Linked DNA regions of Caenorhabditis elegans. The protein of the gene in region 1 purifies or fractionates together with the protein of each later gene. This does not show direct contact. Each region holds a gene or a part of one and is shown on either strand. Other genes may lie near its edges.

The links.
Region 2: the proteins of clp-1 (region 1) and pycr-4 fractionate together in Caenorhabditis elegans (co-fractionation; one large-scale study listed by BioGRID). This does not show direct contact.
Region 3: the proteins of clp-1 (region 1) and ZK849.6 fractionate together in Caenorhabditis elegans (co-fractionation; one large-scale study listed by BioGRID). This does not show direct contact.

The regions. Positions count from the first base shown.
Region 1 is NC_003281.10:7,978,974-7,982,730, reverse strand, and holds the start of clp-1 (Calpain clp-1), read right to left. Parts: upstream 1,658-3,757; 5' UTR 1,563-1,657; coding exon 1,461-1,562; intron 1,367-1,460; coding exon 1,243-1,366; coding exon of another isoform or gene 1,127-1,242; exon of another isoform or gene 1,059-1,126; coding exon 921-1,058; intron 268-920; coding exon of another isoform or gene 193-267; intron 1-192. UniProt on the Caenorhabditis elegans protein: Calcium-regulated non-lysosomal thiol-protease which catalyzes limited proteolysis of substrates. Required for assembly and maintenance of integrin attachment complexes which are essential for maintenance of adult muscle.
Region 2 is NC_003282.8:7,475,587-7,479,215, reverse strand, and holds pycr-4 (Putative pyrroline-5-carboxylate reductase 4), read left to right. Parts: upstream 1-1,918; 5' UTR 1,919-1,926; coding exon 1,927-2,035; intron 2,036-2,093; coding exon 2,094-2,347; intron 2,348-2,415; coding exon 2,416-2,952; 3' UTR 2,953-3,053; downstream 3,054-3,629. Other genes in the region: Kinetochore-associated protein rod-1, read right to left, coding at 1-58, 116-411, 459-611, 667-763; slc-25A18.2 (SLC (SoLute Carrier) homolog), read right to left, coding at 3,137-3,432, 3,483-3,629.
Region 3 is NC_003279.8:14,197,954-14,201,136, forward strand, and holds ZK849.6 (NADH dehydrogenase subunit 1), read right to left. Parts: upstream 1,184-3,183; 5' UTR 1,055-1,183; coding exon 1,037-1,054; intron 913-1,036; coding exon 790-912; intron 738-789; coding exon 681-737; 3' UTR 658-680; downstream 1-657. Other genes in the region: best-26 (Bestrophin homolog 26), read left to right, coding at 2,268-2,327, 2,389-2,513, 2,562-2,699.

The DNA.
Region 1 (3,757 bases):
CTAAAATATTACTCTAGCTTGAATTTCATGGGTGCCACATTTGTGTAGATAGTTCAGAAATGAAATACAATTAGATGTGATAAATAAGTGTCAATAAGATCTATAAATGTTCTGATCATCAGCTCTATTAACTATTAAAATATTAACACAACATTTATGATACTACATGCACACTACAATCCTAATGCATACCACCACCACCAATAAGTGATCCGACCAAGCTTCCGATGTTGTTTCCACCACCGCCACCGCCACTGCCGCCTCCGCCTAAATTTCACACGAAATATCACAGCAAACATGCAAAATATTGCATTTTTAAAGGAAAATCACGAATCATCAGTCAAAAGCGAATTAACAGGAGAATTTAAAAGTCTAAAGCTTCTTTCAAAATAGCCATATTTTTCAAATCAAATTTTGGAAATGAGTGGTGTTGTTAGTATTTAAGTGAGTGTTGGTGAGTGCGTAGAAGCTTAACTTATTGTATTTTCAAACTCTCAGACCGTAATTTTGCCCTCCGCCGCCTCTTTGTCCACCGCCGCCACCTCCGCCGCTCAAAAGTCCCCCAAGAATGTCTCCGAACCCTCCGCCACCGCCAGATCCACCTCCACCACCAAAATTGTTATTTGGTGGCGGCTGTTGTCGACCTCCACCTGATTTTTAACATAAGTTGATGAATTTGTGCTATGAGCGTGGAATTGCGCTATTTTCAAGAAAAAAGCTTGAAGATTGGTGAACAATTACGGAACAAAAGACAAAGAAGCTTCACATTCCCAGACGTCCAAGAATGAAAAACTAGAAAAAAAACCGAGGATAATAAATTACAGACCATGTTCAGAAAATTTGAGAAAATGATTAAGCTAATTATATAATCAAATCTATAGAAAGCACAAAACAGCAAATAAAAAAAACACAAACGCTACCATAGTTATCCTGCTCCTTCTTTCCTTTCCTATTCACCACATTATCGAATATTCCTCCAATCAAGTCTTTCGCCATGTCTCGTTTCCTTTTTTGTTGATCTCCGCTGTTCCCATTCCCGCCTTGATCGTAGTTCGAACCTATGGATTACTGTAGCAGCAAATGGGATTACGATAACATGGACAACATATAAGGTGTGAGAAAAAATTCACTGATCTAAGCCACACGGTGATGTTTTGAGTGAATCTAAATGTTTTCTAACACAAAAAAAGGAACTTGAATTTTTAGGGAATTTTTGTCTGACAATTTTGAAAATAAAAATACCTCCACCGAATCCTCCATTTCCACCACCGAAACCTCCGCCTCCGCCGCCGCCTCCTCCGCCGCCTCCACCTCCGAAGAAGTTACTGGCAAGGCCTCCAAGGATATCACCACCGGCGCCACCGACCTGTGAGATAATTAGTTTTAGGTTGCAATTAAATTTCAACATGTCTATGTAGCAAATTTAAAAAAAAAATATTCTAACCAAAAATTAAACTAACCTTATCTCTAATCAGGTTACCAGCAATTGATCCAATTAATCCATTGAATTCATCCGGCTTCACTTCGACTTTTTGAATAATTTCTTCCTCATCGTCAGCCATTTTGATTCCGTCGGCTTTTGCTGTGAAACCGTCGGTTGTTGTCTTTTTTTGATAGTTTTCCTCCTCGTTTGAGCCTGCCGCACGATTTTCGGGGTCTGCAAAACAGAATATCTATGAATTTGAAATAAAATTTGATTTTTGTTCAACGAAAAAGTCAGAAGAAGCAGAGCAATCAGGCTCACAACATAGAGAAAAAAAAAACAAATTTTTACCTCTTCTTGGGGATACAGCAATTGAGAATGGAAACATAAAATAATTTTTAGAGTTAGAGCTTTTTTTAAGGAATGTGTAATTCTTAAAATCGATAAGCCCTTTGCGTGCTCTTTGAGCCTTCGGAGTTGGGGAGACAAAGATTAGCGTCAACTTTTTTGTGCATGCATTTTTCTGTTTTTTTTCTCATATTTTCTGAGCACGAAACAACATAAATTTAGTTGACAGAATAAAGGAAATTTGAGTTAATGGAAATAGAAACTTTATCTATTAATTTATTTGATTGTCATCAATTAGCTATCGATGGCAAACAAAACGGATGAACCTAATTGGAAACGGATAAAAATATAAATTCAATGTGACAGGGGGAGAAAAAAAAACTAGATTTTATTTTTTTGTTTCTCTTTTGGTTTTTCGGTCTTGTTTTCAATTTAATCGTCACGGAAATTGGTATTGGAGTGAGGCACAACACACCAAAAAAACAATTGCCACATTCAATGGGTTTCGAAATATAGAATATGCTCAGAAAATCAGATAAAACTAAGCAAATCGTAATTTTTGAACATGATTTTCAATTATTCAAGGATTTTTCTTTCAATTTTGTTCCGAAATTTCCCTGTATGACCTTTTGATACGGATAAAATTGTCTTTTGAAACCGAGAAAACGAACAAAAAACATTTGGAAATCGATGTAAAAGCTGCGGGGGACCAGAGTTTGCGTGTTTTGCTTTTGAAACCAATTCTACATTCCCATGAGTCTAAGCGAAGGACATGTCAACTCAGTGTCAGGAGCAGGCCGAAAATGTGTTTTTTTTTTAATTTAGAGTTCAGAAAAAAAACCACACCTTCTGAAGATACTCTGGATCACACGTAGACAACAATACAATACATTTCTTGAATTTTTTTTCATACAAATTTGACTCACCAACAAGACAACAATTGAATACATTCATTGCACCGGGCAATTCTCCTCGAGAAACGAGCACAGAATGAGCTCAAAAAGGGAGCAACAAGCAGCTCGTTTTGAGAAATGGAGAGCTAGAGGGACCAACCGGAAATAAAGGAGCACCCTATGGCTCAGAGCAGGAAAAAGTTGCTCTTTTTTTTCTCGAAACGGAATGTGATGGCAGAAATAGAGGGGAAAAGATGTTCCGCGCCGTTGATAATTGGTTTTGGTGAGGCTCCGGGGCTCAGTTGCTCTTTTTGTTTTTGTTTTCCGTTAGGTTCTATTCGCAGGTGATCGATAGCATAGAGGAAAAGGTCCCTTTTTCTTTGAAAAGAGAATAAAATTTTGTGTATCGAAGCACTTTTTTTTGGATTTATAGGTGAGTGACCAGAGAACTCTTTAGAATAAAGAAGTGGTGAGCGATTTAAAAATGAGAAAATTTCACCAACGTTGGTTGCCAATCATTCAAAAAGCCAGGGTTTGAGCTGTCTGAGCCCCATTTGACGATTATCTAGATGTTGCGGATTTACGACTTACAATTACAGAAATCTAAATCCAAATGAGGACTGTTCTTTTTTGTTTAATTTTTTTTATTTGGCTCCTAAAATATTCATTTTATTTGTTAATTTTTGTCAAAGGAGAAAAGCAACTGAAATTTTTTTGTTCTTGGTCGAAAGAACTTTTGTATACGGGAATGTAGTTGCAATTTTTAGAAACGGAGGTGTTTCAGACAAAAAGAGCCCACAAAAAACTTTTACGAGCTTTATTTATTGTTTCCACTACAAATTCCTTCTTTCGATGAATTTCGGAGTAATTGGTTGGGCTGGAGCAATTCTTATTTAACGTTCTAACAAAATCTCGACATTTGTTCGAAAAAACACAATTTTTCAACAAAAAAAATTTTAATTTCCTTATTCATCAGCGGGAAACAACAGTCGACTAATAAACCTTTCAGTATTTACTATCATCTTATTTCCTATCGCAAAAAAATTTAAAAAATCAAAAAGAAAACAAAACTCGTTGGCATGGGTAGAAAGAA
Region 2 (3,629 bases), on another chromosome or scaffold:
TAATGTCACCTGCGACCTTCGACATGTCAACAGACTTTGAAACCGTTTTTCCCATTGCCTGAAAAGAGAGTATTAAAATTAATTTGAAACTTTAAATGAATGTGATGAGCGTTACCTGGTGGAAAAATTCCTGAATCTGATCTCTGTGCCAATTTTCGAAACGGTTAGTCTCCTTAGATGCAGCCACGTCTCCTGGCAATGTGATAGTATGCCAATTATCAGATCGGCTCCCGAAAATCAATTGGCAAACACTGGAAGTAGTGTGACAGACAACGAAGTCAATTTCATGAGGAGCTGGCTCGTTCAAGTAAATTTCTTGTTTATCCAGCGAGAGAATTACAATACGACGATGTTCAATGACTCCAACAAAGAAGGAAGAACTTCCAAGGATTTCGAAATCAGTGATGGCTCCTGAAAATGTTGAGAAATCATTCCAGAGACTCTGAAATAGCTCATACCTCCAAGTCCGGTGTTGAACGAGTAGTCGCTTTTCTCGCCAAGACTGAAGACTGCCAGATCGGAGCACGACGCAAGAACAAGAAATCGCTCGTTACTTTTCGGTTTGAGCTTCCATGCCGGAGATTTCTTATCGATTGACATCTCATTTAACACTGAAACATACATTTAATTACATTAATCATAAAGATAATAGTTTTATTTTCTTACGGGGAAGGATTCGCCCAACGGTGCACACATCATAAAGGCCCACAGTCGACGTTTCCGCTTCCAAGTCCACAGCTTTTGCTTCGCCTAGGCGACCCATTCTGCAAATACGACATTATAATACACTGGTATCTCTAATTAAAAAATTTAACAGAAGAACGATTATAAAAATGAGTGAACAATTTCATTTCAAAAAATGTTTTTCGCCGCCGAAATAAGTGTCAGCAGGGCGCAATTTCCAAGTGTTAGAGTGAGAGAAACAAGACTTTTTTGAACCAAATAGTTGAATTTTGAAGCAAAAAACCAATAACTAAACACGAAAAGCGTTTCAAATCTCATACATTTCCTTACCTTTAACTGTGTTGAACAAAAATTAAATAATGAAAAACAATTAACACATTCAGTAAAAATTGATCGAAACGTGGAAATTACGTGTTCCTAACTATACAGCTTTTTTAAACGTAATTTTAGACCGGAAAACTTCTTTAAATTCAGAAATTTCACTATATTTATCAAAAATAAATAGTCTGAAACGATTTATTAGGATGAGGCGAGAAAATAACTGAAAATTAAAATGATATCCAAAAGAATTAAGATTCGTGTAAATATAGAGAAATTCGCGCCTAAAATTTGCGCGGGCAGGCGAAAAAAGACCGTAGTTTTTCGTCCCAAAACCCATCTCCAATATTCAGCATGCGCCTTTAATATGTCTACCGTATCTGCTCAGATGTTTCAAGTTTTTATCATAAATAAAATAATTTTACATTTTTTAAAGAAATTTTGAAGTGTTTATTTTCTGTGTTTCACCTGTTCCTACTGTTTTGTTCGTGGTTTGAACGTTTTGAATTATTTTCCAGAGCAGGATGACAAAACTGAACCGATGACAAATATATTTTATTATCTATACGGCCTCTGGAATGATGACAAAATAATCATCTAGGTGACTTTCTGTGCCTTTCACGGTTTTAAGATACAAATTTTTATAGAATACTAGTTTTTCATGTCAATTTCGGTACTAAAATGATCCCAGCATGTACCATAATATATCTTATTGTAACTTTTATATAAATGGAGACTTAGACGTCTAGACGTCTAACAAGAGACATAAAATAGAACCCAGTTATATGTTAAACGCACAGAGACGCAGTTGAGAAACAGAATCTCGTTAAGCGGGCAAACCTCTGCTCATGTCTTCTTCTTTTTTTTTTAATATGTTGCTTTTTGTTGTGTCAAAAACAATTATTATTGATTTCAGTCAAAACCATGACTATCGATACTGAATTGACAAACGGGTCCTCAGAGTCTGTGCCATTCGTGTTCATCGGAGGTGGAAATATGGCCGCTGCAATTATAAAAGGATGCCAGAATAAAGGTGAGTTAAAAAATTGTTCTCCTCGTTGATTTGAATTAAATTGTTTTCTAATTTTTAGGCTTTACACCGAAAAGCAATATTGTAATTGGCGTTCAAACGGAAAAATCGGCTGAGAAATGGAGGCAACTAGGATATAAAAACGTTTTCACAAACACACTGGAAATGCTGGAAAGATATTCGACGGCAATCTATGTGATTTGTGTGAAACCTCAAGTTTTCGAAGAAGTTGTGTCAAGCTGGCCTGTAAACTCAAGACCAGAATTTATTATTTCTGTAATGGCTGGAGTTCCATTAAAAGTTCTCAACGCGAAGGTGATTACTATAAGCAGTTATAAAATAATTTTAGAAATCATAATTTGCTGTACATAACATTTTTCCAGTTGCCATTCGTTTCGGGAAACACTACCATTGTTCGTTTGATGCCAAATGTAGCAAGTTCTATTGGAGCCGGCGCCTCGACGATGTGCTATGAAAAGAATGAAAAAATTATGAATCAAGATTCTCACATCGAATTGGCACGCGAGTTCGCCGAGTGTGTTGGAACTGTCGAACTTATCCCAGAAAGATGCTTTAACCCGGCAATGGCTATTGGAGGGAGTAGTCCTGCATGGACATTTATGTACATCGAATCACTGGCAGATGGAGCCGTCGCACAAGGGCTCGGACGAGCAGAGGCTAAAAGATTAGCTGCTCAAGCAGTACTCGGAGCAGCTCAAATGGTGCTCAATTCGAACTCTGGATTTGATATTGAAACTCAGCACTTTGGATCCCTCAAAGATATGGTTTGCTCCCCTGGCGGTACAACGATTGAAGGTGTTCGGGCACTTGAGAAGAACGGATTCCGTTACGCTGTTATGGAAGCTGTGGTAGCTGCCTCGACCAAGGCCGATGAAATGGCAAAATCTCTGGCCAAGTGATTAAGTTAGATTTTGTAATGCTTTTCACACATAACTTGTTGTTGTTGATATTTAAAAAAAAAATCTTTTTTTGAAAAAGAAAATAAATGCTCTAGGCGAAACCGACGCAAACGTTAAACATTGCAAATGACTGGCCAGAAATGAGCCCTAATTAATTGTGAAAATTTGGGAATTGGGGGGAAATTTATACTCTTGATCCTTTTTCCAAGCCGAGAATCTTTTCGGCCGATCCAACATAGTAGACAGTCTGAGCGATTCCGAAAAGTGGTGCCATTACCATCATTCTGCAAATTGCTCCTTTAAAAAGAGCTTTTACACCTTCATCAGCGAGAATACGATAAAACGCGTGGAAAATTCCGTTGTAGTTGGATCCTCCAGTTTGAATTCTTGTTTTCACAACGTCCAATGGAGTCACTGATAATGATGCAGTTGCTCCAGCAGTTAATCCTGATACAAAGCTTGCCCAGAATACTGCGTCGCCTTAAATATGAACTTGAAAATTTAAAGTTTCAGTAAACAATTCGACAAACCTGAATCGTCTTTCTTTCGTGGACCGAGGCCATCCAAATAGGCGAAAAGCGGGAAATACATTGCTGAAAACGAAACATCTCGTGCCATTGTCGGTCCAAGGCCTTTATACAATGCACGAACACCACCATCCTTTGTCAACAGATTCC
Region 3 (3,183 bases), on another chromosome or scaffold:
TTCAATTCAGAGTTCCAGCAGCCATAACTTGGATGCTAACAACGGTAAATCTCTGAAACTTTCAGATTGAGTCTTCTACCTAATATCCTTCATTTGCCCAAACTAGATCCTCCTACTTTCTCCGGTGCGGTGCGGCCGCGTCGCGGTTCAATTTTTTTCAAAATGTGTTATACTTCATGTATGTATATACTCCAGAAAAAAAGACATGGTGTGTTTGCGTTGATCTAATTAGAAAACTGGAAGAGCCGGCGCAGGCGAAATTTGATTAACAGTAGAGAGAGGGGGTTTTGTGGAAAACATACAACCGGAATTCCAGGGTCCGAAATTTGTTTTTGAAAGGAAACATTTTGAGTCTGTATTCTTGGAAGAGTAAATTCGCGACCGCAACGCGGAAGAATTTAAAATTTAAATACTTTAAATATGAAAGTCCTAGCTCTGTAAAATCACCTGCAAAAATTTCAGGCTTCTAGCTCAAATATGAAGCAAGTTATGGCAATTTGAAAAAATGAAACTAGCCGCGATGCGACTGCGACGCGCCCGCGACGCGACCGCTCCGCACACACCTAATTGTTAATTGCATGTTAGAATAAAATCATCGGAAGACTATGAAATTTTCGGTGCATACAAAAAAACAAACATATAAACAGACAAAATAACATTTGAGTACAAAACTTCATTTTCTAGCGAACTCTGAGGGCTGGGTTGTTGTACGGCTTCTCCCCACAGTACATGAATGGCTGAAATTTAAAAAAAACTTTTTTTTTCTGAAAAAAATCTGAAATTTCATACCTGTTTCGCAGATCCCTTTGGAATCATACACGGCTTCACGACAAAGAGCAAAAATGCGGAGAAGACTCCGAGATACCAGCAAAGAATGATCGGAGAGGCCAAATAGTCGAACCAAGCGAGCTTCTGAAAATAGAAAATTGAATTTTTGGGGGGCTTTGGAGCATATTTGTAGCATTTTTAGCACATTTTTAGGTGAAAAATCAAGTTTTTCAGCTTTAAAACTGGAAATCTGAATCAAAACACTTACTTGATTGGAATACACCATGGTTTACCGGATTCGATTTTTTGCCTCGAAAAGTGAAAAATGGAAGGAATGAATGAAAAATCGATATTTGAAGTATTGATTTTTGATTGATTAATTTGAAGAAAAACTTCCAAATTTCAAAACTTCAAAAAAGTTATCACGTAATGAAAAAATTTAAACACTTTTTTAAAATTATTTTTTTTTCAAAATTCCGTATCTTTTTCAATTGTTTAGATGTAAAGCTAATTTTAGGCTTAAAACTTGCATTAAAGCTTTAGCAATAACTGAATAAATTTTGCCATTTACTACTTAAAAACCTACAGTATCCCATGGGTTTTCGTGGCGGGACTCGAAAAATATTTAAAAAATTCTTGAAAATGTTTGAAATTACATTGCATTTGTAGTTTTTTAGATTTTTGAGAGATTTTAAGTTCAAAATGGGTAGAAAATCATTGTTAATTTGATACAGAATTTTTTAAAATTAAATCTCAAAAATCTACAGTACCCCATGAGTTTTCGTGGCGGGACCCAACATTTTTTTTTGAAAATGTTTGAAATTGTATAACTGTTTAAAGTTTTTTATATTTTAAAGAGATTTTTAGTTCAAAATGTTTAGAAAATTATTGTTAATTTGTTGCAAAATTTTAAAAATCAAACCTATAAAATCTACAGTACCCCATGAGTTTTCGTGGCGGAACGCAAGTTTTCAATATTTGCAAAATTTCAAAAATTAAAAGCTTCATAATTTTGTCAATTTTCAAGTTTTTGGACTGATTTTGTTTTACAGTATGTTTCAAATACTGATTAGCATATTTGTAAAATATGATCCGCATATGTGCAATACCTACAGTACCCCATGAGTTTTCGTGGCGGGACCCACAATTTTCCAAAAAATAAAAACTCGATTTTCACGCGAAATTTCAAATTTCAAAAAAATTTTAAGTTTTAAATTTTAAAACTTTCCACGTGAGTTTATTTTTATATTTGGAACTTTTGACGTTGCAAACTTTGAAAAACGTTTTAAAATCGATAAATCAAACATTCCTCAACTAACCTTTCTGTTGGAAAATGTGAGTTTAGCGGCTGTCAACTTTAAAGGCGCATACCTTAGAAACTGGAAGAGATATCAAAAAGTTGTCAACTAGCAAAATGTAAAACAAATAATTTGCTACATTTTATTAATTGACAACTTTTTGATATCTCAATTTTTGGCAAAGTTACCGCTCTTTTTCAGATGACTGTTCCATATTATCGAGATGTTCCAACTGGAAATGCTCTACGCAATTTTTTCAAAGTAGGTTAACAGTTTTAGACAAAAATGTTATTAATGTTTACTTAAAGTTTAAAAAATTCAGATTATGCTCAAAAGGAAAGGAAATTTATTTACAGCGATTTTTAAAGAGTTATGTTTGTTTCTTGGCTTGTATTTTTTATTTATGGTGATCTATCGACTTGTTTTACCAAAGAGCGGAGGTCAACGGTAAGTGATTTCGCTGGAAAAACTCTTTAAAATGTAGCTTTTTTTCAGTGAAATCAGAAAAATTGTCGAAAACTTGCTGTCCCATCAGGAATTTACGATACCCTTGGAGTTTTTGCTTGGTTTCTTCGTTTCTAGTGTGGTGGATCGGTGGAGAAAGTCGCTGGACAGTTTAGCATATATTGAGAGGTAAATTGCGGCATTCTTGAAACCTTTGTAATTCCACTGAAAGCTAAGTTACTAAAAAGTTGTCAACTTGTGAAATGTAGAGCGAACAATTTTCTACGTTTTGTCAGTTGATAACTTTTTGTATCCTTTCTGCGCGGAGTTATTGGGGTTTAAAGATGGAACACTCTCCAGCACACAGTGATATTGCGGTTTAACTTCAAGCCTCCATAACTTTGCAGTGAATAGTAATATCAAAAAGTTGTTAACTAACAAAATGTAGAGCGGAAAATTTTCTACATTTTGTCAGTTGATAACTTTTTGGTATTTTTATTCTACGCGGAGTTATTAGGGTTTGAAAAAAGAGTACACTCCTGCCCACTGTGATGTCCACAGTGATATTGCGGCTCAACTTTAAACCTTCATAACTCTGCACTGAATGACATTATCAAAAATTGTTAATTATTAAAATGTAGAGCGTAAAATTGTCTACATTTTGTTAGTTAGT